Arabidopsis thaliana: one gene and its partners. The protein of the gene in region 2 interacts with the protein of the main gene of each other region in a biochemical or structural test. Each region holds a gene or a part of one and is shown on either strand. Other genes may lie near its edges. The genes, in order: AT1G22290, HA2, PSY1R and SIP4.

Region 1 (6,215 bases), on a different chromosome or scaffold from region 2:
TTTCTGAAAAAATCCGATCTTTTATTGCTCCGATCGAAATTGTTTTTACATTTCCATAGATTTTCTTTGTAGCCCTTTACCGATTTGTATGTTTCTGGGCTGTTACTTGATCTGGACTTTTAGATGCGACCTTTAAGTAATTTCTTGTTTAATGTTGTTTAGATACTCTGATCACTCTTGATCTTATCTTGATATAATTTTATACTTACTGTTGTCGAATCTCTTAGCATGAAAATGAAATAGATCTACGTTTTTGGAAGCAAATTCAAAGATCGGATATTTTTTTTTTGTTGGTGATGATGCAGAAATGGTGGAGGCGATGAAGAAAGTTGCTCAGCTTGATGTGGAGCTAACTGTGGAAGAGAGGAATCTTGTATCTGTAGGGTACAAGAATGTGATTGGTGCAAGGAGAGCATCATGGAGAATACTATCTTCCATTGAGCAGAAGGAAGAGTCCAAGGGAAATGATGAAAATGTCAAGAGGCTTAAGAATTATCGTAAGAGAGTTGAAGATGAGCTTGCTAAAGTTTGTAATGACATCTTGTCTGTCATTGATAAGCATCTCATTCCATCGTCTAACGCTGTGGAGTCAACTGTCTTTTTCTACAAAATGTGAGTGTCATCTTTATTATACTCTGACCATTCATGTGATATTTGTGTGACTAAGAATGAGATCATTTCCGTTTGACTAAAGTTAAATGTTTAAGTTATTACATAGCTACCACTCTTGCTTGTGTTCTTCCTGAAATGATGATGATTCATGAACTTTTCCTTGTTTCACTGTTTTGACTTTACGTGTTTTTTTTTCTTTCTATGTAGGAAAGGAGATTACTATCGCTATCTTGCGGAGTTCAGTTCTGGTGCTGAACGCAAGGAAGCTGCAGATCAGTCTCTTGAAGCATATAAGGTCCTTTGATCATGTTTATTTGTTTTCTTATTTTTGTGCCACCCCTCTTATATTTGAGCTGGGAATAACCTAAGACAAGTCTTGCTTTTTTCGTACTGGGAATGTAGGCTGCTGTTGCTGCTGCAGAGAATGGTTTGGCACCCACACATCCAGTTAGACTTGGCTTGGCGTTGAACTTTTCAGTTTTCTACTATGAGATCTTGAACTCTCCCGAAAGGTTTGTTTTTGTATTTTGGATTGAACATAATAGTGGAATCTGTGGTCATTTTCTGACACTATGAAACTATGTATTGTACAGCGCATGCCAATTGGCTAAGCAAGCATTCGATGATGCAATTGCTGAACTTGACAGCCTCAACGAGGAATCATACAAAGACAGCACTCTTATTATGCAGCTACTTAGAGACAATCTCACCTTGTGGACTTCAGACCTTAATGAGGAAGGAGGTATTCTTATTTTCTTTTGTTTCCCTATCTCATGATCAAATGGTTTCCTTAGAATCAAATGAGCTGTTAAGAGCGTTACCTTGGAGTAAAAATGTTGATGTTTGGGAACTCGTAACCATTAACCATCTGTCTATATTTGAATTAAACCGTCCTTTATGCATGTATTGCTATGTAGATCTTTCATTTTAGTTTTGAAAGCCTCAACAAAAAACATACCAATCTACCATCTCATAGTTATTGGATTCTAGCTAATCTTGTAAAAGTTATATGTTTGTAGCAGAAAACATTACTAGTTTCTTGTTTCTCTTCCAAAGCTTTTTCACTCACCTTTTTTTTTTCCCCTCTTAGATGAGAGAACCAAAGGTGCTGATGAGCCTCAAGATGAGGTATGAAAAGCCAGTTTTGTTATAAGTTAAGCTACTTACTGATTTTTCCATTTTGCATTGACAATTAGACCACTCATGGAATTACTGAATCATTGCAGAACTAAATCCTCTGTGAGAAGAGAAACGACTCTTGCTGCATCCTGAATCTTGAAGTGAAGACAGTAAGTGTCGTTGTTTGTTACTCGAATGTGTAATTTTTAATCTATGTCTTTCTTGATGGTGTTTTCCAGATTCTTGAACTTTTCACAACACAACACTGCGTTGCGTATCTTCAACCCTCTTATGATGTGGTTGAATTCTGTTTTACGCTTAGTTTGCTTCTTTTGTTGTTGAATTGAGCCAGCAGGCATGATTTGGGTTTTTGTTTATCAGAATATTAGGCGTATCATGGTCTCAAAATTAAAAACCAAAACAGACAAAGCTTTATTCGAAGTTTGTAATAACTAATAACTCCTTGCAAAAATCATGAAAGTCTGAATTCAAGAGGCTCTTAATAATTTGCATAAGTGATCCCAAACTTCACAACTTTTCAATTTGTGGATGTTTGCCCTCTTTGTGGCCAAGGAATCATCCTCAAGTGTGTTTCTCTACGGTGGTTTGGTCCGTAAGTGTGTGACATAATAATGGTTTGGTTCTCCCAACATGACCCTCAAAAAGGATCTCTATGCTCTAAATATGGGACTCTTGTAAGTTGTAATTGTAACCAAATGCTATCACAAACTCTCTAACTCGTACCAACACTCATTGTGTCTAATCCAATCGAGAGCCCTCAAAGTCTAAAACATGTTAATCAAACTGTGAACCAGTTAATCCTTATAGAATCAGATATCTTTTTGTCAACCATCTAAATAACATTTTTGTCACGAATTGACCACTTCCCTCGAGAGATTTTGTAGTGTTTTCTTTAATATTTTTATATGTCCAATGAATAATAATTTCATACATCTATCGAAAACTTCAATTTTGAGCTACAAATGATCAATTCAAGTATTCACTTGGCCCAACTTCTAAATTCTTTAGGTGAGTTGTTGCTAGCACAACAAATGCTACAACTGTCAAAAGCAAAGAGACAACACCTTCAAATATTAGGTTTGACTAATAAACAGAGGATCATGGTGACGATCTTTGCCAACTCTCACCAAATCAACCTGAAACCTTCAAAACAGATTTGATGCTATTGGATCCAGCGCCAATAGGACACTTGTCATTAGCTCATTTACTTTTCTATTCTTTAAAATGATGAGTGAAATCGAAAAGTCTTGAGCAAGAAATACAGATTACAGTTTCTTCTTCTCCAAGCATCTATTGTTTAAGAGAGAAAAAGAAGAAAAGCCATGGAGAATGAACAATCAACGCACGTTCACTTCGCGAGTCTCTCTTCGTCAAGCGAGCGCTACAATGGTACTTTTTTTCCAGAACAACTTCTTGAATCTTAACATGCCTTCACATTACTCAATACTCCAAATGTTTTGTTGCAGAAACATTTGAAGAGATAAAGAAAGCGATGAAGAAAAGTGTTCAGCTTAAAGCGGAGCTATCAGCAAAGGAGAGAAATCTTGTATCAGTGGGGTACAAGAATGTGATTAGCGCAAGGAGAGCTTCATTGGAAATACTATCATCCATTGTGCAAAAGGAAGAGTCAAAAGGAAATGAGGAAAATGTCAAGAAGCTTAAGAATTATCGAAACAAGGTTGAAGATGAGCTTGCCAAAATTTGTAATGACATCCTGTCCGTCATCAATAAGCAACTCATTCCATCGTCTACCACTGTGGACTCCTCTGTTCTTTTCTACAATATGTGAGCGAAAATGTGTTGTTGTGGTGCTTGAGGCGCAAAAGTGTTGCACTGTTTTGGCTATACTTTATGTTCTTTCCAGGCTGGCAGACTTCAGTTCTAATGCTGAAAGCAAGGAAGCTACTGATCAGTCTCTTGATGCATATAAGGTCCTTGGCTCATGTTTGTTTTTGTGCCTTGAGCTCGGAACAAAATAAACTGAACAATATGTTTTGTGTTTTGGTAATGGCAATGTTGGTTGTTGTTACTGCTGCAGAGACTGGTTTGGTACCAACAGTTCCAGCTATACATGACTTTGAATTGGACTTCTGTTTTCTTAAACTCTCCTGAAAGGTTCCTTTGCTTACATGCATACATATGATTATTTAATGAAATCGGTGTGGTGTTACTTACTAACAGTCTGAATCAGTGAAACTGTGTGTTGTACAGTGCATACCAATTGGCAAAGCAAGCGTTCGATGATGCAATTAATGAATTTGACAGTAAGTGATGAATCAAACAAGGACATGACTCTTATTATACAGCTACTCAGAGACAATCTCAACATGTGGACTTTAGACCTCACAGAAAGAGAGGAGGTAATCTTTTTATTTCCCTATCTGCCTCCTCTGATGATAGATAGATAGTTTCCTTTGGAATCAATATAAGCCATTTTTGTGAAATTTTGTTAGTTCTTGTACTGTTATGAGGAGCCTAAACTTTGATTCGAATGTTAATGCTTGGGAACATATTTACGGCTTTGTGGATCTTTCATTGCTTAAACGCCAAGTTGTTGAATTCAAGCAAATTTTGTTGCAAGAAACCAATTAGCATACTAGTTTCTTGTTCTCTTCCAAATCATACACTCAACTTTTTTTTTGTTTCCTCTTATCCAAAAGTGGTGATGAGCCCCAAGAAAAAGGTATGAAAAAGCCAGTTATGTCAAAATTTAAGCTACTTGAAGATTATATTTTTCATTTTGGCATTGCTAATGGAGTTACTATACCATTGCAGAACTGAATCTTGAATCCTATGCGAGAAAAGAAACGACTCTTGATGCATATCCTGAGTCAAGATGGGTTGGAATCTGTTTTACACTTAACTTGCTTCTCCTGTGTTGAAATTTCAGAATATAAGACACCATTTGGGGTTTTGTTTGTCGGAGTATACCTAAAGAATCATTGCTTGTCACCGACGTTTCTTCATTCTTTCTTTTTATAGCCAAATGAATACTATAATCCCATTGGAGCACTGAGGAAGAAAACTCGAGAATTGCTTGGTACATCTTCCTCTATAGCAGTTGCAAACAGTTCCACAAATAAAACACAATGAAAGTTTTTCAACGCCTAAGCTAAGTCTTTCAATAATGAAACCCTTTTCAGTGATAAATTTCTGCAACTATTTGCAACATCTCAATCTCTGAAAGACTTTGCTTAGAATTATAACAACAAAACACAACCAAATTGTAGTAAACTGATCCATCTTATTTTTAATCCTTCCAAGGATAATGACATTTACCAACAACAATGATAAGGATAACTTTTGCTTATTTTGTTTGGCAATGTAAATCTCTTACAAATAGCAAACACTTTGGTTAACATATATATATGCAAACCTAATCCAAAAGTACTTTCACATATTTGTAAAAACATCCTAATATTTATATCCCGATGATTAAATATAACAAATCAACCAATTATAATAACAAAACCCCCCATCACCCACCACAAAACTCCATTCCCCACTCCTTTTTTGTTCATTTTCTTATCGTCTTTAAAACACACAATTTACACAACGAACGCACATAAGCTATAGCAAGAAGCAGCTAATCACAAATTGAAACTTAGACCGGTCCTAAACCGAACCAGAATCATCAGAGTCGAATCCAGTGAAAACAAGCTTTTTTGTCCTGATGAATCTTTGATTGAAATTATTATATAAGGAACCCATCTCCCCGTAAGTATCCTTTCAGAGAGTTTGTCATCTGAATCGGACCACGACACAAGATATGTCGTCTTTACTCTCTCTTCTCAATGCTTCAGCTGTTAATTCCTTTGCCGCTTTCTGTGGATCTTTCACTCTTCTCGCTATCTCCATTGCCTCTTCATTTGTCATCACCTATTAACATGATCATTACAACAAAACAATCAGACAAAAATGGTCTCAAAACACTCATTTAACAAGAGATGAATAATATATACAGAGAACAAGCCATTATTACCTTCCAGATGCCATCACTAGCCAAGAGAAGAACATCTGTCTGGCTATCTACAGTAGCTTCTTTTATGTCAGGCTCTGAACTCAAGTGTGTCTTAAGTCCCTTATCTCCAAAAGCACGAGACACAGCTAATTGACCATTCACCCGAGGAACATCACCTGTTATTAAAACATCACAGCCACATCATCCTCCTTGTCAACAAAATCATTCTATCTTCATTAAACATTCAATACTCAAAATAAGTTCTTTACCTGGTAGATTGGATACAAATCCACCTCTATCTTCAATACTCGACCTTTCAGTACGAGGCTCATGATCTGTACTCATCTGCGTTATAGCGCCACCATGAGAAAGAACAGCTCGTGAATCACCAACATTAGCTATCCACAACTTTCTCCCATTAATCAATATAGCAGTCACAGCAGTAGAACCACCACGACCCAAGTCAGAACTATTCGATAGAATCGCTTGGTCCGTCTTCTCA
Region 2 (10,359 bases):
AGAGAAATAAAATTTCCTTGCTGCATTGATTGATAATCTACTAACCCTTGACTTTTTTTGTGTGGTAGGATAAAGAACACAACAAAACCAATAAGAGATCATTCAGTTTTGGCTATTAACAACAAAAGCTAGTAACGTGTATATTGCATGTATCAAACACTATAAGATTAAGAGACAACTTGTAATGTCTCAACCGCCCATGTTTAGTAGTTATAGATATTGTTTGGACATTTTATTGTTATTATTATTATTATTATTATTATATATATATATATATATATATATCTAAATGATTCGGTATATATTTTAAAAAATAAAAATAAAATAACAAATGAGTAACACCCAGACTTTCATATCATATCAAAGGTGACCTTTTGTGTCAACATAAACTATATTTATCTATTTACAAATCCTATAGGAAAAATTAAAGTCATCTTTAAACCTGGAATGCAATGATGCTTAGAATCAAAAAATCACGACTAAAAGTCCTTGACAAATAAAACGTATTAATAACCCAATTACTGACCACATGCATCTTAACTTTATGTTAATATGCGTAGTAAAGAAACTTGTATCTACGTCATATTAGTTACAGTGGCAGTAAAATTCAGTTTCAAAGATGTTTGTCTTGATATGTTGTACAGATCACCAATTGAACTACCACTAATAATAACTAAATTTCTGTTTAGCAAGTTACCATCTGTATCCAAATATCGCAAAAGTAGTGGGTAGTGAAACCCAAATTCATCACACATGCAGCATAAAAAAAAAGAAGGTCAAATGGTATATATAATATGAGGGAGATCTATATTAAGATAATATGGGTAGAAATGACATAGATTGATCAAACTAATTAGGAGATTGGTCCAAGGACACATACACATGCATACATGTATTATGTATATACAAAGTGTGTGAGTGAGTGAGTGAGAGAGAGAGAGGTTAAGAGGAAGGAACATGTGAAAGCATTAAGAGAAGGTGGGGTTTTGTATTGATGTCTTGTTCTTGGAATGGAGCCACATGGTAAAAGGGTCTCTCAAAGCACCTCTTTAGGGGTAGTTGTGATGCAGCCAAATTAGAGCTCTTGCATGTGACTCCATGTGTTTTTTCTTCCCTCACCCATTATTATTCCCAAATTCTTCTTTTCTTATTTTTCTCTCTTTATTTATGTATATATATATATATATATATATATATACACACTCTCTTTTTGTTTTCGTGTATTTTCTAAAAATAAATGTATTATACAAAAAAACATATATTAGTTGATGATATTCAAATTCCGTTGTTTTTAAAATATTTGTCTAAAAAAGAAAACTACTAACTACGACTTTCAAATAGTCTTGTGTTTTGTACGTGAACGAAAAATAATAACACTCCCAAACATATTACCTCATATATGTATACAAAGAAAATTAAGTTCTACAACTTTACTTTATACATCATCAACGCTTGTTATATACAAACAAACGTAGGACACCGCTCTTCTCTTTCTTTGTCTCTCTCATATTCTAAGTTTGCTATATATGTAACTTTCTCCCTTGTAGACTTTCATTTGCAGCAAAAATAGTTTCTCATATGGAGAGGCAAATCATAAACAGGAAGAAACGAGTGTTTTCTCTTGAACCAAACAAGAACCCTAGTGCAGTTTTCACGAGAAAATACACAAGCCACTTGGTTCCTGCACTCAAGAAGCTCAACATGAACAAGAACTCTTCAAAACAAACCGTGAAGCATGAAGTAGATATGGCTTTGGCTTTGTCTGCTCAAGAATTTGCATGGAGCCGTTTCTTGCTGCAGAAGCTATCGTCCTCATCGAATCCAACCACTACCACTAGTTCTTCTTCCGATGGAATTCGGATTCTTGAAAGACCCGATAAAGAAGGCGGAAACGAAGAAGGAGGGATAGAGGAGAGACTGAGGGAATTGAAGAAGCTTTTGCCAGGTGGGGAAGAGATGAATGTGGAAGAAATGTTGAGTGAGATTGGTAACTACATTAAATGTCTTGAGTTGCAGACGATTGCTCTCAAGTCCATTGTTCAAGATAGTACTTGACTTTTAGTTTAAGTGTATAATTTATAGTTTGTTTCATGTTTTTTTTGTTGTCTTTAAACGAAAATCATCTGTGTTTTTTTTTTTCTCTTGATTTCTTTAAGAACAAGAGCATGTATTATAGTGTTTTTCTTTTTTCCTTTTCTTAATTAATCATGGTTACCGAAATACCTAAAGTACCACACATGGCCGTTTATACGTACATCTTATAAAATTCGATCAAAATCTGATTGAAATTTAAATTATTGGTTGTAATGCCAAATAGACGATGTGCTGCCTAAAATAAAACTCTTATGTTGTCTTTTTTTCCTGAATTTATTATTTTAATGTTATGAGCAAATCTCCAAACTTTAATATTCTAATCATTTTAACCTGACAAACTTTGTGTTTGTGTATATATTTATATTCCTGCAAGTTTTTTTTCTCCTTTAGCGAAAACATATGAACTTTCGACTACAAAAAATCAGATGTAACAAATCTTCAATTAAATAAAAGCTACACATTAGTAGAGATCACCAATATGTTCCAGCTGCAGTAACTACAGGTGCACCATTAAAATGTAAACAAAAATTAGGACTACTGGACTAGAATTACTTTCCAAAAAATTCGATGAATATGAAAAACAAAACGCCGAAATTGTAAATATCTAAAAAGGAGGAAAGTTGGATGACATATGTGTAAACTATGAAAGTCATAACATTGATTTGAAGTCATCATCCATATCTTTGCACGTGTCTCACAGTCACTCGCACGCATCCAAATCTCTCTATTTCTCTTAAGATTCTAGCCGTACTACTTCCACACAACTTGTCTCATGTCATGTTTTTAATGGCATTTTTAAAGGATAGTGTTATTTAATTGATTTGGTTTCAGTGAAAAAAAAAAAGAAAAAATTATGGTTATTTCCCTTCTTTACAACAAACAAAATTTGATTTAAATAAGCAAATTGTTTGTTGTCCCTAGGTATAAATAACATTTAGGTACTATATATAAAAGTAAAGAAGCCGGAAGAAAAGTTGGATTACGAAAAAGAAGAAGATTAAGATTACATAGGCTCATGGAATAAGAGCAAAGAAGAGAATGTGCATGTGCCAAATGCCAAACACAAAGGCATGCCTTGTTTCTTCAAAAGAGCAAATTATGCAAAAGTACATATTTGAGAAACAAGAACACTAACAATAAGGTTTGGGAAGAGTTATGGCAATAAACAAAGATCTCTCCCTATGTGAATAATAATCATAAGAGGTGGTGAAGAAAAAAAGAAGAAGAAGAAGACAAAACATGAGAGGATCGAAGATCAGTCATATGTTTGGTTTTACTACACAGTGTAGTGACTGGGAGTTTCAATGTCCAAGCCCTTTAGCTTCACGACTGATTCCACATGTCCCTTGAGTGTGTGCAGCTCCCTAAGCCTGTTTAACATATAACAATTCAATTAGTGTTTAATTCCAACAAAAAAATACACTTAGATTAAAAAGAATCGTGTGTGATCGGATTTATTACCTAGCGATCTCAGCTCTTCTCTTAGCTTGCTCAGCGATCTCAGACAATTCTCTGTAACTTCCTTTCTCAGGGAAGATGTTAACAGCTTCTTTTGGCTGTAAACCGTGAAGTGTCCTTTGAGCAAGTGCCCATTGAGCCTCTCTCTCTTCTTTTCCGTAATCTTTCTTCATCGTGAAAGCCGTCTTGTTCTCAAACAAGTTGAGCCACGCCTTTCCGCTCAAGATGTATCGAATGGCAAACTTGAAAACGTCCAATGGGAAGTATGTGACAATACTGTATAGCCAGATCACACCAGCCCATCCCCATCCAATACCCCTAATCTTTGCAAATTCCCAGTTGGCGTAAACCGCAATCAAAGTAGCAATCTGCATTTGGAAGAATGAATGGATTTAACGGGTGCTTCTTTGAGAACCTTTTTACCAAACAAGAATTCCCTTAAAATGTTGATTTGATGAACTTACCAGTTGTGCAATGAGGAAAGCAATCATCAGCAATGCTCCAGGACGTTCAACAAAAGACCAACTCCTTGATCTTGTGACGAAGATCAGAGCTTGACTAATGATACTAACTTGTAAGTACACCGCACCCATTAGCTCGTGGTTATTGTCCCTAATGGACCTCACACCGAATGTGTCCTGTGAATCCAATGTGAAATTTACTTTACAACTCTGAACAAGAACCTAAGAAAAAACTTCTGTAAAAGAGAAATTAATTAGCTCAATTGTATGTACCGAGAAAAAGTCAGTCTTGTGCGCCGCCCAGAAGAAAATAACAGTCATGATGGCCTGGTAGCCTCCTAGAACGACTCCAGTAGCAAAAATTTCTTTAAGTTTCCAGCTATCAGGTGTGGGAGATGGCTTAACTCTGTCCTTTGAGATTGTCATGATGGTACCTATAAGATCAAGATAGCAACACAATACCAAAAGATATAAGTAAACATTGTAGAAAAAGTAAACAAATTTTGAGGTTTATACAAAAGGACAGCCATTGCTCACCGTCGTTAAGAATGGCAATGATCAGAACCATGAAGGCTGAGAAGTCAAATTCCCATATCAAAGCAATAAGCATGAAACCAAACTGCAAAAAGTTTCAACGCAATATGATCAGCATACTATTAATCCAAGATAAAACCAACAAGGGCCAGAACTCAAACGGATTTATTTGCATACCACAATACGGATGGTGATTGAGACTGCATAGATCTGTAACAAGAGAGAAAAATAGAACAGAGTAATTAGTTTCAATTGCAAGCAAGCAAGTGGTTGGAATAAATTAAGGATGAAAAATAGGAGAAGACGCACAGTATAGTTCTTCATTCTCTGGAAAATAGCTCTGCTGGTGAGAACAGCACTGATAATAACGCTGAGTCCAGGCTCAGTGAGCACGATATCTGAAGCACCACGAGCAGCATCTGTAGCATCAGCAACAGCAATACCGATATCAGCTTTCTTTAGAGCAGGGGCATCATTGACACCATCACCAGTCATTCCAACAATATGCTTCCTCTCCTGCAACTTTTTCACAATTTCGTATTTGTGCTCTGCAATAAAAAAAACAAAGCTTAGAACTAACATCACCACCTTTGCAATGAACATATAGTGAGGTTTATAATCCAAACAATAAATAAGCAGATTATAACCTGGGAAGACTCCGGCAAATCCATCAGCCTTTTCAATCAACTCCTCAACAGGAATGGATGCGAGGTTTGCGTCTTTGTGTGTACCAAGAAGAGCCGAAGATGGATACATGTTTGTTCCCATTCCAAGTCTGCGACCAGTTTCCTTACCAATAGCAAGTTGGTCACCTGGCCACATATGTGTTCAAGAGAATGTTAGGGGGAACTTGTGAAGGTGTATAGCTAGCACAACAAGATAGATGGGTAGACAAATTTACCAGTGATCATCTTGACGTTAACACCAAGATTCAAAGCCCGTCGAATTGTTTCAGCACTGTCATGTCTTGGGGGATCAAAAAGTGGCAACAAGCCAACAAATTCCCATGGCGCACCTGGGCTTTCCTTTGTTTTCTCTGGCACCACCTACAAAAGGGAATAAGAAGACAAACAGTTGAACATTTGTTACCACTGAGAAAAGAAAAGCAAAAAGGGACTGGAACTATCAGTATTAATGGCGAATAAGTACCTGGCGAGCAACAGCCAACGACCTAAGACCACGCTCAGCATACTTGTCAATAATGGAGAGCACCTTCTTGCTAAGATCATTGCTGGCTTTGGCAAGTTCGAGGATCTGTTGGGAGAATCAAATCAGTATAAAAAAGAAAGGTAAGAAAAAAAAAGGATTAGCTTGTAAAATTAAGATCCATCACCTGCTCAGGAGCACCTTTACTGACTCTGTGCCAGTTACCACTGCCGTCAATGTAAGTCAAAGCAGTTCTCTTATCCACAGGGTTGAATGGAAGGAAGTGAACTTCCCTGATTCCAGCTCTAGCCTGTGAAAATCCCAATCAAACATCAGAACATGTTTCTTGGACGCTCAGTAAAACTACAAATAACATGTGAACCAAAAAGGGTTATACCTCCTTTGGATCAGCAAGCATCCCAACCATGGCTGCATCAATGGCATCCTGGTTCTCAACCCTGGAAGCCATAGCTGCAAATAATAGGACTTGATCTTTCTCCACACCCTTGCAGAAAACCTCGACCAAGTTTTTGTCCACACTCAATTTGTTGAGGGTTAGTGTCCCGGTTTTGTCACTGCACAGGACATCCATTCCTGCCATCTCTTCAATGGCAGTCATACGCTTGGTGATGGCACCTTGCTGAGACAACCTGTGAGACCCAATAGCCATGGTCACGGACAAGACTGTAGGCATAGCAATGGGGATACCACCGATCAAGAGGACCAAAAGGTTGTCAATTCCATCTCTGTACTTTCGGCGTTGGATCGGATACATGACGATGATCTCAATCACCATACCGATAGCAATGGAACAGATACAGAAGTTCCCAATGGCTGTAAGAACCTTCTGGAAATGTCCAACTTGGTTAGTGCTGTCCACAAGGTGAGCAGCTTTACCGAAGAAGGTATGAACCCCAGTGGCAATAACAACCGCCTCGATTTCTCCTTGTTTGCAGGTTGAACCAGAGAAAACTTCTTGACCCGGGTGCTTGGTTACAGGAAGGGACTCTCCAGTTAGAGCAGATTGGTCAACCTTTAAAGGATCACCTTCAAGTAGACGGGCATCAGCTGGGATAATGTCTCCTAATTTAATGCTAACAATATCTCCTGGGACAAGAATAGCAGCTTCTTGTTCACTCCACTTTCCATCCCTAAGAACCTGAAACAGAGAAACATCACAACAAGAACCAAAACATTAGCTCTAGGGAAAATTCAGAAAGTTCTGTATAACAAATTCACACCATTCATTCTCTTATCATATATATACCTTGGTTTTAGGAGCAAGACCAGCCATAAGAGCAGCAGCAGCATTACCAGCATTGTTTTCTTCGATAAAACTGATGGTAGAGTTGATAACCAACAGACAGATAATACCAACAAAATCCTGCCAATCCGGAGGCCTACCATCACCGTTGGCCAAAGCAATGGCCATGATTGCAGCCATTTCCATGACCCATGAAAGTGGATTCCACATAAACCCCAAAAACTTCAGAAGTTTGCTTTCCTGTCAATTTTCATTGCACAAATCACCAAACACTCAGTAACAAAAAAAAAGGAGACCAACTATGTATTTTATCTGAGAGCTACAAATGCAAAATCAGACCTTTTTCTCTTCGAGCTTGTTGGGGCCAAAGATCTGAATCCTGTCCTCCCCTTCCTGCGTTGTCAATCCTTCCCTTGAACATTTTAGCTGCTGGAAAACTTCCTCAATCGGAATTTTTTCCTGAAAAAATCAAAAGCAAATTCGATCAGATGACCAAATCCAAACAACTCAAACTTTCACATACACAAAACAAGTTTCTAAACCTTAAAAAGGAGAAACCTTTTCTTAAGTAAAACAGAAAACTTTGATGATTTTGTAACCGTAGATAAATCTACTCTGTTTCATAAGTACAATAGTTGGAAAAAAGTCGTTGACTAGTTCGGTGACAATGAAATATTTTTGGCGGGGGGGAAATAGCGGTGGTGAAGTGGGGACCGCCACCACCGACCAACGTGATGGCGACGTGAAACACACGCGCCGAAAGATTCCCCTCACTTCCCGGCGTAAAAATCGAGGCTTGGTCGCGTAAATACAGTCCAAAGTTATGTAAAAGTAGCATTTTAATAAAAAAGATTCAAATTATTGTCCCAAGAAACACAGAAAAGAAGTTACGTCTGCACAAAAGATGTGTTCTTTTTTGTTGGTTGCTAAAGACAGAGAAGTTAAACGTACCACGGAAAGGTACAACCAAAAAAAAAATCCGAACTTCGTGTTAAGTAACAGATTTGATTAAAGTCATATTTATTTTTTCTAAATACCACCAAATAAATTCTTACTAGTAACCAAAAAAAGAGAAGACAAAACATTGTACAAGTAGGTTTGGACTTTATTGAGACGTAGCTAGCTCCACCACTGAAAAAAGAGACTCTGTTTTCTTTATCTTGTTTGTTTACTAGTATATCACATGCTTAGATCTACTTTTTTCTCATGAACAAACTCTTCATGTCCTCCAAACGTTTCTTAGACTTAATTACTACCCAGAAACAAAAATATAGTCTTTCTAAACAAATTTCACATATTCAAAACTAAATCGATGAAAATGTATATATAAAAAACGAAACCATAATGAGAGTAAGTAATAACCAAGGAAAGACTTTAAAGCCACCAAGTGGATACAGATCTACTCTCATTCAGGCAGATCATCGAACAGTTTGTGAGCATAAAATAAAAACAGAGGATAAAAAATGGTATACCAGATCAACAGTCTCGTTCTTGATATCTTCGAGACTCGACATCTCTCACCACTCCTTCACTGAGAAAAACGACGGCGAATTAGTACTCAACACGACAGCTTTGTCCGCCGTTTCACTCGATCATATGTATTCCGGCAAAATAGAGAGAAGGAGAGGAGGAGAGATTAGGTGGTTCTGTTGCAGAGTCGATACGAGTCCTCTTTTTATAAGCCACTAAAAACGACGATTTTCTCCGCCGTTTTGGCTATGTGGGTCCCATTACCAAGTAGTCTCTCTATATTTATTACCCTTTTTATTTATTTTGCTGCCTCTTTAAGTTCTTAATCACCCTTTGACCGTTGATTAATGTAATATTTTTGGCTTATGAACCCGAATCAAATTTGTATATATTTTGTGGGTCCTAATTACACTTTAATTATGGAATAATTGTTCATTTTAAACAACAAAATTTTCTACCGTTAATAATTCTTATTTTCTTTTTATTTTGAGATATTTTGATGTTTTATAGTAGTTTGAAAAGGGACTCTAAGGAGGAAGTAGCTTATAAGAGAAACTAATTTGTAATATCTCTTTTTTTAATTACTAGATCATAGACTTTGGTGTTTTTTTTCTTTCTTTTGTCATGAATCATTATATCAAGAAAGAAATATTTGGTGGAGGTATACATTGCTTGGATTTTTTAATTTATATTTGACTAAGCAACATACTACTTGCTGCTTAGCCTGTCCTCTTCTTCATTTTTCTTTTTTTTTTTTTGGACACCTATTAGGTTTTGTTTAAAGAAAGATATTTCTTTCTGAAAATTTCAACTAATACTATATTTTCTTAACAAAATCGTTTTCCAACTGGTTTAGGTTCGTTTTTTCTAAATTTGTTTTTTCGATAAGCAATAATGGGTTACTTCGGTTTTGTTTCCATTTTTTCTTTCTCAACCATACAAATACTTCTCCAAGCCAAAACACTTTAAATCTCTGAAATTTTGACAGAGATGCTTATAACAAAAACTACATACCTTGATTAAGCAGGTAAGAAAACTACTTTTTCTTACTATTTTTACATTATATCAGTTGGTGTGGATCGTAATTAGTTACGACGGACTAATTTATATAGTAGTAATTTGTAGAATAGTAATTTTAATATATATAGTTATTTGTGGCCCTAACGTTGATAATGAAAATATTGGCCCTTCCAAGGTGTGCCTCATGGCAAGGTCAGCAATGGGAACGATGTCACATGTTAATAATTGAATAAAAACCATAGTGTTAATTAAATTTGTTCCCTCTGAAGATATACTGAGAAATTGACTTTTGATTGTGATGGGTCCCCCAATAATACAAAGTTCGTCATTTCCAACTCCTCTACGTTTTAACTTCTTAGGATTCATGTCCTAATTAATAAGTGTTCAAGTCTAAACAAACGTCTCGTAAATTAGGTAAAGAGAATATGTACAAGATACGAAAATCATTTCTTGTCTTTTCTTTTCTTTTCACAAATGATGGATAGAAAAATTGTAAACAAAATGATTTTATTTATCACATTTTTTTATCATGGGGTAACAAGTTTTAGATTATTGTATACAGTAACATACTTTACATATATATCATACTATTTATTTGAATAAAATACAAAAAGACATCACTTATTTACAGTTTGCCACAATATTTCTTTACCAATATAATTTTGGTAATCTAGTAAAATAAGTTCACTATGTATTTAATTTTGCAGCTCAAATGAACCTTAACTAAATTATTTAAAATATAAGATATAATATATTATCATCTAGTTGACTTAAATGACTCTTACAAACACATTTAAAAACTTATCATGTCATATATATGAAGGAAAGAGGCAAAATTTGTCCTTAATGCACACTATACATATAGAAAAGAACATCTGAATAGCCATATATCATATAACTACTAGCATAGTC
Region 3 (8,770 bases), on a different chromosome or scaffold from region 2:
GTGGGCTTTATTAAATGGACCATGGCTGAGTAATTCATGCAAGTGGCAATTGGTTCTGAGAAGTCTGATAACAGAAGAATAGGAAAAGAGAAGAGGAAACGGGTTAGGGCTGGGCCGTATCAACTTATGGCCCAAATGAGTTCTAATGCGATAAAACGGGTCGGGTCTCAAACTGACCCGTTTATGTTTTCGGGGGTCAATTTGCACTCAAAAGGGTCGGACCGGGTTTGTCTCTCATTTTTGGCTCTTTCGAGAGTAACACTATATATGGCTAATTTTTGCTTTGACTTTACTCAAACATCTCATGATTTGTTTTGGGTATACCAACAACTAGTTGCCAAGTATACCAAAAAAATGAAAGTATATTGAATCTTGCATACAGAATCTTTATTAAAAACAATTTTGATTACATATACTTTGAATGGGTTTATTGTTTAGGTGAGATTTTTGTGCTAGGTTTTGTCGGGAGATCGAAAGGATTTTAATTCTCAAGTCTATTAATGCAGTACTACTAATTTGAAAACCGAAATATGAGTTAGTTTTATTTTTATTTTTTGTTGCATAAAACTAGTAAAAGTTTAAAAATATAAAGACAATTTGCTTGCTTCCCTAGTTTTTATGATTATTGTTAAAAAGTTGATTGAATGATCAAATGGGTTATTGGAATACAAAGACCAAAAAACACATGCAAAAGATATCAACTATTCAAAGTCATAACTTAAATCAAAAACACATGTAAAAGATATCATCTGTTCAAAGTCATAACTTAACTCATCACACACATAAATAGGTAATTGTAAAAAGCAAGTGGTTAGATTTTGTTCTTTTTGCATGAGCTTACCGGTCCAACTCAATATAGGTTATATCTTTTTGACGACCAATATAGAAGATAAGCTATCTCCCAAAATAAAATTACATATATATAATAACATGTATTGAATTAAATACTATTTGTTCTTTTAAAGTCAAACGTTTTCTCTCCCTTAATTAAATGAAAATTCACGAGGAGAGCCTAGATTTAGGGTCGTCAGAAAATAGAATACATTTAACATATGCTTATTCACACCTGTAGAACAAAAAATAGTGTTTATGTTATTATCACTTGACTGTTATTTTCTGTTGATTATTTAAAAATTTCAACTAGTTGTTCTTAAAATATTTGCAAATGGTACGAAAAATCTAAATAGCTGTATCTGGGAGCAGGAAAAATTAAAATAGCTGTATACAGTTTATAAAAGGACAAGTAATATATTACAAAATATAGAAAAATGCCAAACACAAAATATACATTAAATCAGGATCATGATACATGTTATCTTTCAGTTGAATTGTATATATAAAAAATGGAATATCCTAATCCAAGTCGTCCAATTGCCAAATTTTATCCCCAAAAAAAAAAAAAAAGTCGCCCATTTTATTTGTTTTTACAAAATCATTTTCTCAATTTAAAAAGAAGAAGAAATTGTCAGACGAAAAAAAAACAAATTAGGACGAGTTCTTTTCAAGATAGATAAACAGATATGCCGATGTGCTGTGTTTTGAAATGGATTCATATTAGAAAATAGCAAAATAATAATTAAGAAGTTAATAACTTATAAGTAAAATAAATAAATGAATACAATATTTATTGGCTTTTCCTTATTCTATTCTAGGCCAGAAAACGACAAGCTTTATTAAACCTGGATTTTGAGGTACATGAATCTCTATAAGTATAAGAAATATATTAGGTGGAAAATAAAATTATTAGAGATTCTATAAATTTGATTGAACATAATAAAAATTCAGTGGAAAAACATTAAAATAGATGTGATCGTCTTTTATCGAAAAGCTAATAATATATTATCGTTGTATAAAGTCACAAGAGTTTATTTTACGGTTTATTCTCAACAATCTGAGCCTCAGAATTCTAAATTTCCTTCTTTATTTTAGATGATAGAGAGATAAATAAAGCATACATAAAGGAGGTCCAACACAACTCCAAAAGATTGTTCGGTATTATTTAATGTCAAATCTTTATATTCGATTCCACTAAAGAGATAACTATTCTTACCATGTCTTCGTAAGCTCTATCATGTTAAATAATATTTAGATAGAAAAACAAATTCACACCATCATTACTTACTGCTCCTAAACACTAGTTAAAGTATTAAACGCATTAATCATGATAGATTCTATTTAATTGGACTTCGAAGAACTCTCTTTTTAAAACATCACTCCAAATAACTGTTTTTGATCGTCAATAATTCACAAAAACACAATTTCGGTTTTAAAATTAAGTAACTTCTTATGACTTATTCTAATCGTATGAAAGTGATAAATATAATATCACACAAAATCTATACTAATGTTTTTTTTTGGGTTATAGCCATTTAATAAGTACAATTTCTGAAAAGTCTAAGACAGTTAATTTAATACGGTATTGTTTAAAGTAACTTGTTAGCTATCATATACGCCATTTGCTCATTATAAATTACGAAAAGAAACACACACATGAACAGCTTGAAGGATTTTTATAACCCTAAGAAATCAAAAAGTCAAACAAAATAAATAGTATCCTTTACAAAAAAAAAATAGTTATCATATGATCTTCTTTATCTACTTTTCGTTCTTTATGACCACTATCTAATGTTAAATGTGGCTTCCACTTGGCATAATTAAACATAAAAAGATCCTCCATAAGGCAAAAAAGTAAAGAAAGAAATGGACAAAAATAAATAAAGATGAATTACATATTCTACAATTTTAGAGGATATAGAAAAAAGTTGTGTAACACCACCACCACTACGAGCCACTACTACTAAACCAGCCGCCCCAAAAGGTAAACGCCTCTACCACAAAAAATAATCATCATAATACTATTCTTCAACTTCTTCTTTTTTATTTATTTATTTTGATTTCATATCATAATGTTTGTACCCATCATTATTATTTTATGATCAAATTCAATTTCATGATCAACATCATAGCACGCACGCATGCACCTCCCACCTCCAAAGATTGAAATGACCCAATTTCAAAATAAATCACATAAAACGTTTTTTAATCTTTCTTAATCATGAATAAATGACAGAACAAAACCAGACAAATGAAATAAGTAAAACATTTTTCATTGGTTCATATAAGTAAGGATATATAGGGCTGACTTTAATAATTACCAGAGCTATTCAGAGAGTTGTACTTGAGCTTTTATTACAAAAAGGAATAATAATTTATATATATATATATATATATATATATATATATAACTTTTTAATCAAAAAAAAACTTTACATAAAAACAGCATACCCACAACCACAATCAGGGCAGAAAGATAACATGATAAAATAAAATAAAATTTAAAAGTGAACTTTGGGTGTGACAAGAAGTTTTCTTCTGTTTGGTCTGACTATTCCCTTTGGTCAACGATGGTATTGAGAGCCATTTACAAGCTTCGGACAGAGAAACCCAGATTGGATAATCATGTCTTTTGTTTCTTCTTTTCCCTCTCCTTCTTCTTCTTCTTTTTCAAGCTTTCTTAATCTTTCTCAGCTTCTTCTTCTTCTTCTTTTGTTCTCGCCATGATTGACGAGAAGATGAGATCTAAATCCATTGGTCCTTTTGTGAGACAAGTAAAACCTTTGAGTCCTCACATGGTTCTCTTTGTCCTTCTCTACGTTCTTTCCATTTCTGTCTTCTTTCTTACAGTTTCAGAGGCTGTTTGTAATCTTCAGGATCGAGATTCTCTCCTTTGGTTCTCTGGCAACGTATCATCTCCAGTCTCTCCTTTGCATTGGAATTCGTCCATTGATTGTTGCTCCTGGGAAGGAATCTCTTGTGATAAGTCTCCTGAAAATCGTGTTACTTCGATTATTTTGTCCTCTAGAGGACTCTCTGGCAATCTTCCGTCGTCTGTTTTGGATCTCCAGCGTCTCTCTCGTCTCGACCTTTCTCATAACCGTCTCTCTGGTCCACTCCCACCTGGTTTCCTCTCTGCCCTTGATCAGCTCTTGGTTCTTGATCTTAGTTACAACAGTTTCAAAGGTGAATTGCCACTTCAACAATCATTTGGCAATGGAAGCAACGGAATCTTCCCAATTCAGACCGTTGATCTCTCCAGCAATCTTCTTGAGGGAGAAATTCTCAGTAGTTCTGTTTTTCTTCAGGGTGCTTTCAATTTAACCAGTTTCAATGTCAGCAACAACAGCTTCACGGGTTCTATCCCTTCCTTCATGTGCACAGCTTCGCCGCAGCTCACCAAACTGGATTTCTCCTACAATGATTTCAGCGGTGATCTCTCTCAAGAATTAAGCAGATGCTCGAGGCTAAGTGTTCTTCGAGCAGGCTTCAACAATCTCTCTGGTGAAATCCCCAAAGAAATCTACAATCTTCCTGAGCTCGAGCAACTCTTTTTACCAGTCAACCGTCTTTCTGGCAAAATTGATAATGGGATTACTCGTCTCACCAAACTGACATTGCTTGAGCTTTACTCTAATCACATCGAAGGAGAAATACCCAAGGATATAGGTAAGCTTTCGAAACTGAGTAGCCTCCAACTCCATGTCAATAACCTCATGGGTTCTATCCCGGTTTCTCTCGCCAATTGCACAAAACTCGTGAAGTTGAATTTACGGGTTAATCAGCTGGGAGGAACTTTATCGGCGATAGACTTTTCCCGGTTTCAGAGCCTCAGCATTCTGGACCTCGGAAACAATAGCTTCACCGGCGAATTTCCCTCCACGGTTTACTCATGCAAAATGATGACAGCAATGAGGTTTGCAGGCAACAAGTTAACGGGACAGATATCTCCTCAAGTACTGGAATTGGAATCCCTGTCGTTCTTTACTTTTTCAGACAATAAAATGACGAACCTTACAGGGGCTCTCAGCATTCTACAAGGCTGCAAGAAGCTTTCTACTCTCATTATGGCAAAGAATTTTTACGACGAAACGGTACCAAGCAACAAAGACTTTCTTCGGTCAGATGGATTTCCAAGCCTCCAAATTTTTGGTATCGGTGCGTGCAGATTGACAGGTGAAATACCAGCTTGGCTGATCAAGCTCCAGAGGGTAGAAGTTATGGACCTGTCCATGAACCGATTCGTGGGGACAATTCCTGGTTGGCTAGGAACTCTTCCAGACCTTTTCTACTTGGATCTTTCCGATAACTTTCTAACAGGAGAGCTTCCAAAGGAACTGTTTCAGCTGAGAGCTCTGATGTCGCAAAAGGCATACGATGCAACAGAGCGGAACTATCTGGAGCTGCCGGTTTTTGTCAATCCCAATAATGTCACCACTAATCAGCAATACAATCAGCTTTCCAGCCTCCCACCTACGATATACATCAAGAGGAACAACTTGACTGGGACTATACCAGTCGAGGTTGGGCAGCTAAAGGTTCTCCATATCCTGGAGCTTCTAGGTAATAATTTTTCTGGCAGCATCCCAGATGAATTGTCAAACCTCACTAACTTAGAGAGGCTGGACCTGTCCAACAACAATCTCTCCGGTAGAATTCCATGGTCACTCACTGGACTCCATTTCCTGTCATATTTCAATGTTGCAAACAACACTCTCAGTGGGCCGATACCCACAGGGACCCAGTTTGATACCTTCCCAAAAGCAAATTTTGAAGGAAACCCCTTGCTGTGCGGTGGTGTACTGCTAACCTCCTGCGATCCAACTCAGCACTCTACTACAAAGATGGGTAAAGGAAAGGTCAACAGAACGCTTGTTTTGGGGCTTGTCCTTGGGCTTTTTTTTGGCGTCAGTTTGATTTTGGTGCTGCTAGCTCTGTTGGTGCTTTCTAAAAGGAGAGTAAATCCAGGAGACTCTGAGAATGCTGAACTGGAGATAAATTCCAATGGCTCGTATTCTGAAGTCCCTCCAGGGTCGGATAAAGACATAAGTCTTGTACTGTTGTTTGGAAACAGTAGATATGAAGTAAAAGACCTGACCATATTTGAGCTCTTGAAAGCTACCGACAACTTCAGTCAAGCTAATATAATTGGCTGCGGCGGGTTTGGCCTTGTCTATAAGGCTACCTTGGATAATGGAACGAAACTGGCGGTTAAGAAACTCACAGGAGACTATGGTATGATGGAAAAGGAATTCAAGGCAGAGGTAGAAGTTCTGTCCAGGGCGAAACATGAGAACCTGGTCGCTCTACAAGGTTATTGCGTCCATGATAGTGCCCGGATACTAATTTACTCGTTCATGGAGAATGGTAGTCTGGATTATTGGCTGCACGAAAATCCTGAGGGTCCAGCTCAGCTGGATTGGCCAAAAAGACTCAACATTATGAGAGGAGCAAGTAGTGGACTAGCATACATGCACCAGATATGTGAACCACACATAGTACACCGAGACATCAAGTCCAGCAACATCCTTTTGGATGGAAATTTCAAGGCATATGTAGCAGATTTCGGGTTGTCAAGATTGATCCTTCCATATCGCACCCATGTAACAACTGAGCTAGTGGGCACATTGGGTTACATTCCCCCAGAGTATGGACAAGCTTGGGTAGCCACTTTGAGAGGTGACGTGTACAGTTTTGGTGTAGTCATGCTCGAGCTTCTCACAGGGAAAAGACCAATGGAGGTTTTCAGGCCAAAGATGTCAAGAGAATTGGTCGCATGGGTGCATACTATGAAAAGAGATGGGAAACCAGAGGAAGTGTTTGATACATTGCTGAGAGAAAGTGGAAATGAAGAAGCGATGCTTCGTGTGCTTGACATAGCCTGCATGTGTGTGAACCAAAATCCAATGAAAAGACCAAACATTCAACAAGTTGTAGACTGGCTAAAGAATATAGAAGCGGAGAAAAACCAAAATAACAGAGAAGAACCTGAAGAAGAAGAAGAGACGTAACTGTGTGTGTGCCTTCCTTCCCTACATTCATCATTGTGACCAGATTCAAATATCTGCATAAGTAAATATACACATATTTTTCTTGTCAATTGCATATGTTAACCATCATTTCCATGTAAATTATAATTTTGATGGTAATAGAAGCTTTGATGATGTAAAGAACAGGAATTTATGCAGCTCGTGACATTCAAACGATTTCTATATACATGTAGCTCTCTAGCTATGTAAAACCCTTTGGCTTTAACATGATCAAAAGCAGATTTTTATAAAAGGATTTGATTAGAAATCTGGAATGTATCGTATGATCAAACCAACTTTGGCTTCCATGAAATTTCTCCGTTCTTAAGAGGTCTAAGAAAACAAAAAAATCTGTGATGCTAACAGAATAACTCAAGTGGGGTCTGTAAGCGGCATTTAATCGAACATTTGGTGTGCATAGTTACCAAAGAGACATTGAGTGAAAAGAAAGAGTCGTATGACGCGCGAAAGAAGACAAAGCATGAGAATCTGAGAAACTGAGACATACCTAAACATCAATGGAAGATTCAGAGACAGAGAGAGAGAGAGAAAAAAAGAGAGAGGTTTTTGTGAAACGAAAGCTTTTGATTTAGACTTTTAAAACTTATTGGATAATATATGTCTTGCTAAACGTCGTCGTTTTGAGTGTTTTTGGGAAAATAAGCTATATAGAGTAACGCCAAAAAAAGAAACCCTATCGTGATCAAAAGAATAGTGTTACGTTTCTTTGTTGATAAAACCTTGAGATACTCCTCAAATATCTTAATCTCTCAATTAAGCAAGAGACATACACGTTTATTTATCCGGTTTGATTAGTCGATGTCACGAGATCCACGTCCGGAGCTAGATTCTGTCCAGCAAGTTATACTATGAATGATCAATGTTTTCTCAAGCTCAAGATCTTTACAAGAGGAGAGAAAATTTTCGGATACAAAGTAGAATGAAGAAGAAAACTATTTCATGCCTTAAACAGATTCAACAGCAATGCCTATGAATGATTCTCAACATCTATGTATCTGGATCTGGCCACATTTTTCTTTCTTATTAATTGAAATTTGAAAATAACTCATTATTTTAGGCCATGGACGAGTCTCAGGCTTAATATTACAATAATTTTTACCAGTTGATTAGTAGAACGGGAACATCCTTAGACCTAAATTATCAACCCGGGAAGTATAAGTTGCTAGTAGCCGTAGTAGCATCATCAACCTTTTTGAATTTGACGAGTAAGGTCTTAGCCGTATCCTTGGTGATAATTAGTTGTGGTGCGCTTAACCAAACCCCTGGGATGGCTCCAACGGTTCCGTAAAAGGTGGTCAACTTATAAACGTTTGCTCTAGCTCCTTCTCCAGCTTTCTCAATCTTAAACGAGCTATTTCGGTCCCCCATTTTACCACCGATGAGAATTGAAGGCTCCTTGGGAGCTGATGAGGAATCATCAACTTCCCAAAACTTGGAAAACTCCTTGCAAAACGGCCAGATGTTGGACTTGAACTCGATGTTTACAGCCGAAGATGTCATAACGGTTGATCCTACGCCAAGTGCTAATACGAAGCTAACCGGTAGGCCGGGTTGGTAGGGAAGAAGTGTTTGGGTGATGCCAAGTGGACAAAAGGGAAGTACTGTAATGGCGGCTGGGACAAGACCACCTCCGTTTTTACTCTCGGTCTTAACCGGCTGGATGAAGTATTGTTCGCGGGTGTTAAGTGGATTTCCGGCTGTATCCTTCACCGGTTCATTTCCGTGGGTGCAAATAGTTGCAGCAAACAGGAGAATGATGAGAAAAGAGATCACTGAAGGATTCTTCATTTGTGATTGTTATGTGTGTTTTAGGGTTTGATGTTTCTTTTTTTGGTTTGAGTGAGTTGAGTTGTAGAAAGCATGCACATTGTATCGGTATTTATAGG
Region 4 (6,796 bases), on a different chromosome or scaffold from region 2:
AATCATAAAAACCAAAAGACATTCAATATTCCTTTTCAATAATCTTTTCTTGATTTCCATTTTCATCTCAAGTTTTTTAAAAACCCACCAAGTTTTTTTTTTCGCATGGATGAGGAGATCATAACTAATCTCTGCTAGCCTCTTCTTAGGTTTTCAGAAAGTTTCGTAATTATGGGTTTCGAGAGAACATCATCATCATTATCATTATTATCATCATCATTACCATCATCATTACAACCATCAGAAAACACGAGAGCCAAGTTCAGTCTCTTCTATTTATTGCTACTCTTCTTCGTCCTCTGTGTCATTGCCACCTTCACTATAACTCCCACTTCGACTTCTTCTCCATGTAAGCCATCTTTCTTTTTCTCGTTATCATATTAATTATCAACTTTCTCAAACATTAATATCTTAGAATATTTTTGGTTACGTAACATAAATTATTACAGTACCATTCATATATTATCTTGTTGTAAAAATGCAGATAATAGGAATTCTAACTCTGGGACACTAGGGAACTTCTATGCAAAGGTTCGTAAACTGTTTATACCTCTTACTCTCTTGCGTGATCTAACAAGTAACAATTGTTTTTGTTTTTTTGCTGTTGAGTCAACAATTAGTTAGGAAATAGGAATCAAAAACCGTGTTAACTTCCTTTTTTTTGGCATAACTATAACCACATAAAATCCAAAAAAAGCTTAGTTTCTATTTTCTCCTGATTCAAGCATCTTTGGAGGACAAGATTGATGTTGATTCATCATTAAACACACTTTAAAAATAATATAAGCTTTTTTTTTTTTTTCCATAAATAATATAAGCTTATAATGCGGGGTTCTCTAAAAGGACTACACAAACAAAAGGGTTGTGGCTAAACTGCGCTTGAACAGTCAGCGACTGTGACGGCATGTCGAGACTGACTGGGCATGCAGAGATGCCATGTACTCCTAAAGAAATTCTCAGCCGTCGGATTGGTTTCAGCGCACACGAGGACAAGGACAGTACTCAACTTTTGGTTCGTTCACCACTCGTGGGACCCTGCCTTGCTTACGATCTCGATCGAGTGGTAATATTAGCCCCCACGGTGCACGTTAACGTATGACAGGCTCTTGGAACTTCTCAATCTCTCTGCCCTTTTTGGTAATGTGCGTAGCGCTTTTTCCGGAGCGGTTTTCCCGCGTCTTGTCTCACATCCCCAACCCTGTCTTAAAAATGTTTTTTACCTAAACTGCGCATTTTAACAATAATATGCGTATGTCAGCATGAAATCGCACGTTAGTAACGCAGTCCTCTCACTATCTTATGTTGATAGCAGCTGAAATTGAGTTCACTAGAAGATACTAATTATTGAACGTTAATTAGAAAATACTAATTATTCTTGATTAACCATATTGTTTGGTTTGTTTTACTAGATGTATTATCCTAATGAAGAAAATAATAAATTAGGATATGTATACGTTTGAATATATATTTAGTAATGAAAAATGTGATAATATGTACGTTTTGAGTATGTGTTCAGGAGGAAGGCAAGAGTACCGTAGTGATAAAGAAGACTAGGAAGATCGGTGACCGGAGCAAGGAGGCAGAGCTACGGAGGATTCTAAGGGGATTGGGCTCATCTCCACCACGGTGCTCCTCCAAGTGTGGAAGATGCACTCCGTGCAAGCCTGTTCACGTTCCGGTGCCTCCCGGCACGCCTGTCACCGCCGAATACTACCCGGAAGCTTGGAGATGCAAGTGCGGCAACAAGTTGTACATGCCATGATCTTTTATAATATATATACTCACATATATACATTATATATATGAATTATATGCATGTTCGTAGTTATATCTTGCCTCTACTCCAAATATTTATTATACATTGACATGTTGCTAGGACAACCTCAACGTGAAACTTTTGCTGATAAATTGATTGATGATGCTCGTATAGACGATATGACGTTCTTAGCATATGATTTCGTATATGGTGACATAATTCATGAATAATATCAACATTTGGTGTCAAAAGGAAACATATTTCTTGTCTTCTTCTTCAACGTACTTGCTTATAATGAACAAAAAATAAAAAAACGTACTCGCTTTCTAATAAGTATCACATAGGTTTAGGCTCATAAACATATGGACTAACATAAATAAACCAAAAGCCCAATAACATTACTCTTAGCATATACATATAAGTAAACTATTAACATCTGTCTGCGGGACTCGTTGATTTCATTTAAATTCTGTAGTCTCAGCTCGTTCAATTTAATCTATTCGTACACACTGATAATATTCAAGAAAACATATGCTAACGTATAACGTATTACGTATCCAAATACACCTTACACCACTCACACATAGCCCATATATAAAAGTTTGAAGGATTTAAAGTCGCAGACTCGCGGTCATTTTTTTTCTTTAAAGTCGCAGTCATTGACTGACTGATTCTTCTTTCTTATTGAAAGGTTTTTTATGTAAAGACGAAAGTTTAATCAGGATGTGAATATGGTACGGCCCATGTTCTTTATTCCTTTTTTTTTTTTTGGTGCAAAGTTCTTTCTTATTCTATGTTAGAAAAATAATCAAATTACCGACGCGAGCAAAGGTTATTATTTCCTGGCTATTAGTCTATAACTGATAAATAATTAGTCAATCAGATCAAACAATAGAGAAATAATTAGTCTGCAATCAGCGATTATTAAAAAATAAAATAAAATAGAAACATATCTCAGCACCGATTTTTCAACAGCCGGCCCACGATCCAGAACCGTCCAGCTTGAAGCCGGCGCCGCGTCGACTTGTTCCACCGTTCGGATATTGCCACGTGTGTGAGAGACACCTGCCATTACCTCGTGGAACATGTTTTGTTAGTATAAGTTACTAACCAAGTCGCTATCTTCAATTCTTCATTACCTAAGAGTTGAATAAAAAAACAACCATATACGATGAGACACGCAAATAACTGATATACGAAACAATTATTTATTGATGTACATTCTTCTAACTATAATACTACAAGATTCTGAATAGTTTTAGATGTAAAAAGTACGAGAAGAGTTATGATCAGAGTAAGTTAAGTGATAAGATCATGACACGTAGGCAGAGGAAATAAAGTAGAAACTATCGACAACATAATAATTGAGTGAGTACAAAAACCACGTAATAATTAGGTGTACACTGTAGTCTGTAGATCGATTGTACAAAATGAAAAAACTATATGATTTAAGGAACTAGATATACATATGCATCGACTCAAGAACAGTTGCTTTATGTGAAGACTATCAATTACATTATCGGCTAAATTTGGCTTCATGTGTTGAATAGATGGATTGTGTGCTCAGGTAGTTGTGTCAGTTAATTATAACAGTAAACCTTCACTGCTTCACATATATAAAATTTGGGTTAAAAAAACTTTAACATTTTATTTTTTTAATTGACAACAAACAAATTCTGTAACGGTTACATATAATAGTGCTTCAGTTAAACTCCTTTTTTAGGCAACTCTAATTCCTTTATACCCTTAATCCATTATTATTCTATCGAACTTATCTTTTTAAAAGCTTCCGCGTTACGCCATCACTTCTCCACCATTTAAATACCTAAACCACTTTCTTTCAAATTTCTTATTCCATAAAAAGTAAATTCACAACAAAACCAAAAAAAAAAAAAGAGAAGAAGAATTAGCTTACGTGTTCATCACATCTGCATTACGCGCAAACGAAACAGATTCAAATTCTCCGGCGAAGTTTTCTTATTCATCAATCAATCTCTGGATTCATCAATCATGCCAGAGATCGAGATTGCCGCCGGCAGCGGCGACAACAACGACGCCTTATTCGGTAAATATGAGCTCGGAAAGCTTCTCGGATGCGGCGCATTCGCCAAAGTCTTCCACGCACGTGATCGTCGTACCGGCCAAAGCGTCGCCGTGAAAATCCTCAACAAGAAAAAACTCCTCACAAATCCAGCTCTAGCCAACAACATCAAACGCGAGATCTCAATCATGAGAAGATTATCTCATCCAAACATCGTCAAGCTCCACGAAGTAATGGCGACAAAATCAAAGATCTTCTTCGCAATGGAGTTTGTTAAAGGAGGAGAACTATTCAACAAAATCTCAAAACATGGACGTCTTAGCGAAGATTTAAGCCGGAGATATTTCCAGCAACTGATCTCCGCCGTTGGTTATTGCCACGCTCGCGGTGTTTACCACCGCGATCTCAAACCAGAGAATCTATTAATAGACGAAAACGGAAACTTAAAAGTTTCCGATTTCGGTCTAAGCGCGTTAACGGATCAGATCCGACCCGATGGGTTGTTACATACCTTGTGTGGTACTCCGGCGTACGTTGCGCCGGAGATTCTATCTAAAAAAGGATATGAAGGTGCTAAAGTTGATGTATGGTCTTGTGGAATCGTCTTGTTCGTTCTCGTCGCCGGTTATTTACCGTTTAACGATCCGAATGTGATGAATATGTATAAGAAGATTTATAAAGGAGAGTATCGTTTTCCTCGTTGGATGTCTCCAGATCTGAAACGATTCGTTTCTCGTCTTTTAGATATTAATCCTGAGACTAGAATCACCATTGATGAGATTTTGAAAGATCCTTGGTTTGTTAGAGGAGGTTTTAAACAGATCAAGTTCCACGATGACGAGATCGAAGATCAGAAAGTGGAATCGTCACTAGAAGCTGTGAAGAGTTTAAACGCGTTTGATTTGATTTCTTACTCGTCGGGATTGGATTTGTCGGGATTGTTTGCTGGTTGTAGTAATTCGAGTGGTGAATCGGAGAGGTTTTTATCGGAAAAGTCGCCGGAGATGTTGGCGGAGGAAGTGGAGGGGTTTGCGAGAGAGGAGAATCTGAGGATGAAGAAGAAGAAGGAGGAAGAGTATGGGTTTGAGATGGAGGGGCAAAATGGGAAATTTGGTATCGGGATTTGTATTTCGCGGTTGAATGATTTGCTTGTGGTGGTGGAGGCACGGCGGAGAGGTGGTGATGGTGATTGTTATAAGGAGATGTGGAATGGTAAACTCAGGGTTCAACTTATTCGCGTTTGCGATCAGACGTCGTCAACAAACGCGGCTATTTAAAAGAACGCTATGAAGTTTTCTACCGTGCTTTCAATTTTAAAACGCCAATCGCGTTTCGTTGGTTGGATTTGGTTTCTACTACTTTTGTTTCGGAATTAAAAACAGAGAAAAAATAATAAAAATTAATGTATGTATTTAAATACTGTACCAAATTGTAGGTATCTATTTTGTGCTTTTTGATCAATGTGTTACTATGTACAACAACAAGTCTAAAATTGCATTTGTAGATACTTCACTCTTTTGTATAATGTAGAAAATGTTCTTCTATTTATAGTTTGGATTTTCCAATTTTACACATTTGTACATAACTACTTTTTAAAATCAACCATGCAAATTGTATTAAGTTAAAGTGCATGATAACCAAATCAGATTAATAACCAATGAATTGAAAATAAAAAGTAGATAAATTACTAAAATAAAATAATCTCTAAATCGCATAAACTCATCTAAACTCTCAAAAATCCATACATTACACATTTTTTTTTTTTTCAAAAAGGCTTTCAATTCTATACATTTTTCTGCTTATCAAATATGGCTTCTTCACTTTAATATTTATGTATAGAATTGAAAGCATTTTTGAAAGAAAAACTTTGTGTAATGTATTATTGAACAAATGAAATGATTGAAATGGGAGTTCCACATCCAGTGAAGAAAAAGCATTAAAAAGTATGTATAGAATCAGGGAACTTCAAAAATTGAAATCTGCAGCTTTATAAAAAGAAAAGCTATTATTGTCTACTTGATTGGATATTACAACTCAAAACGAGTGAAGGTTAAGGAATCATTATCATTATTAAAGCATCATCATAAGCACCAGCCTTTTGTTATTCTTCTCATCATTTGTTTGGCCAATTTAAAATTTTAATTAATATCATCTCACCATAGTTTCTGCCCACCTTTTGGTTTTAGGTGCAAATGGAAAAACTCTGGCAAATTAGGTTGTTTGGTGTGAATTAGGAAAGTAGAATGCTTATTGAATATTCTTGACTATATCTAAACTCTCTTTATTCACTTGGGTGATTTCCTCATAAAAATATTATTGTACCAAACTCTCTGAAATCAAAGTTTACTATATAGCTAAAATAAAAACCAAAAACTCTACTAAACCAAAGTTAAGAATAAATTCTTTATTAGAGACAAACTCAAAATTGAAAACCATCATTTATTGTATCTGAAAAGTAAAAAGAAAAAGAGGATATAATATGAGGAGAGATTATTTGAAAGCTGAAATTTTAGTTGCGGTAAAATTTGACATAAGTGAGCAAATTTTATAAGCTCTAAAATCAATAGGAGACCTATCACGGTATCACTATCATGATGGGTAACAATGTCATGTGAACCAAGTAAAACAAAATACAGTATAGGAAATGAATTATAAAAAATTGGGCCATTATAAAATTGGGTCATTGAATACAGTGGGCCTTAATCATACATTTCGGCCCATTCTCATCCTTAAGAGATAAAACGGATTTTTTAGTGTAATAATCTGTCGTCTTCAACGGTCGAATTGAATCCAAGAGATATGAGAGAGAAAAGGGGAAATCGGAAAGCCCTAGATCCCGTCGGTGAGGATGGAGTCACCGGAAAAGATGGAAAAGGCTTCTTCGCCTGTTATCTCTTGACCTCTCTTAGCCCTCGTCATAAGGGTCAAACCTATATCGGGTACTTGTTTCTCTCATCTCTGATTTTGGAATTGAAGATTCTGTTGGATCAAATTCGATT

What was found.
Region 1: the proteins of HA2 (region 2) and AT1G22290 interact in far-western blotting, tested with the Arabidopsis thaliana proteins (one study listed by BioGRID).
Region 3: the proteins of HA2 (region 2) and PSY1R form a complex in vitro, tested with the Arabidopsis thaliana proteins (one study listed by BioGRID).
Region 4: of the proteins of HA2 (region 2) and SIP4, one has a biochemical effect on the other in vitro, tested with the Arabidopsis thaliana proteins (one study listed by BioGRID).

The regions. Positions count from the first base shown.
Region 1 is NC_003070.9:7,874,775-7,880,989, reverse strand, and holds AT1G22290 (14-3-3 family protein), read left to right. Parts: upstream 1-3,027; 5' UTR 3,028-3,074; coding exon 3,075-3,141; intron 3,142-3,218; coding exon 3,219-3,537; intron 3,538-3,616; coding exon 3,617-3,683; intron 3,684-3,790; coding exon 3,791-3,867; intron 3,868-3,963; coding exon 3,964-4,016; coding exon of another isoform or gene 4,017-4,024; intron 4,025-4,092; coding exon 4,093-4,160; 3' UTR 4,161-4,350; downstream 4,351-6,215. Other genes in the region: GRF10 (general regulatory factor 10), read left to right, coding at 306-612, 820-907, 1,015-1,124, 1,206-1,354, 1,703-1,740, 1,839-1,844; PAPP2C (phytochrome-associated protein phosphatase type 2C), read right to left, coding at 5,494-5,631, 5,735-5,889, 5,983-6,215.
Region 2 is NC_003075.7:14,767,450-14,777,808, forward strand, and holds HA2 (H[+]-ATPase 2), read right to left. Parts: upstream 8,610-10,359; 5' UTR 8,472-8,609; coding exon 8,430-8,471; intron 7,417-8,429; coding exon 7,297-7,416; intron 7,198-7,296; coding exon 6,961-7,197; intron 6,853-6,960; coding exon 6,091-6,852; intron 6,004-6,090; coding exon 5,881-6,003; intron 5,802-5,880; coding exon 5,697-5,801; intron 5,594-5,696; coding exon 5,449-5,593; intron 5,360-5,448; coding exon 4,857-5,359; intron 4,758-4,856; coding exon 4,725-4,757; intron 4,633-4,724; coding exon 4,551-4,632; intron 4,448-4,550; coding exon 4,287-4,447; intron 4,191-4,286; coding exon 4,017-4,190; intron 3,921-4,016; coding exon 3,556-3,920; intron 3,465-3,555; coding exon 3,371-3,464; 3' UTR 3,116-3,370; downstream 1-3,115. Other genes in the region: AT4G30180 (uncharacterized protein), read left to right, coding at 1,579-2,055. UniProt on the Arabidopsis thaliana protein: The plasma membrane H(+) ATPase of plants and fungi generates a proton gradient that drives the active transport of nutrients by H(+)-symport. The resulting external acidification and/or internal alkinization may mediate growth responses.
Region 3 is NC_003070.9:27,215,754-27,224,523, reverse strand, and holds PSY1R (Leucine-rich receptor-like protein kinase family protein), read left to right. Parts: upstream 1-3,258; 5' UTR 3,259-3,557; coding exon 3,558-6,845; 3' UTR 6,846-7,156; downstream 7,157-8,770. Other genes in the region: AT1G72290 (Kunitz family trypsin and protease inhibitor protein), read right to left, coding at 8,025-8,672. UniProt on the Arabidopsis thaliana protein: Tyrosine-sulfated glycopeptide receptor with a serine/threonine-protein kinase activity. Regulates, in response to tyrosine-sulfated glycopeptide binding, a signaling cascade involved in cellular proliferation and plant growth. Not involved in PSK perception.
Region 4 is NC_003071.7:12,935,543-12,942,338, reverse strand, and holds SIP4 (SOS3-interacting protein 4), read left to right. Parts: upstream 1-3,504; 5' UTR 3,505-3,766; coding exon 3,767-5,074; 3' UTR 5,075-5,360; downstream 5,361-6,796. Other genes in the region: CHAL (allergen-like protein), read left to right, coding at 172-349, 485-577, 888-1,063, 1,517-1,762; AT2G30350 (Excinuclease ABC, C subunit, N-terminal), read left to right, coding at 6,597-6,736.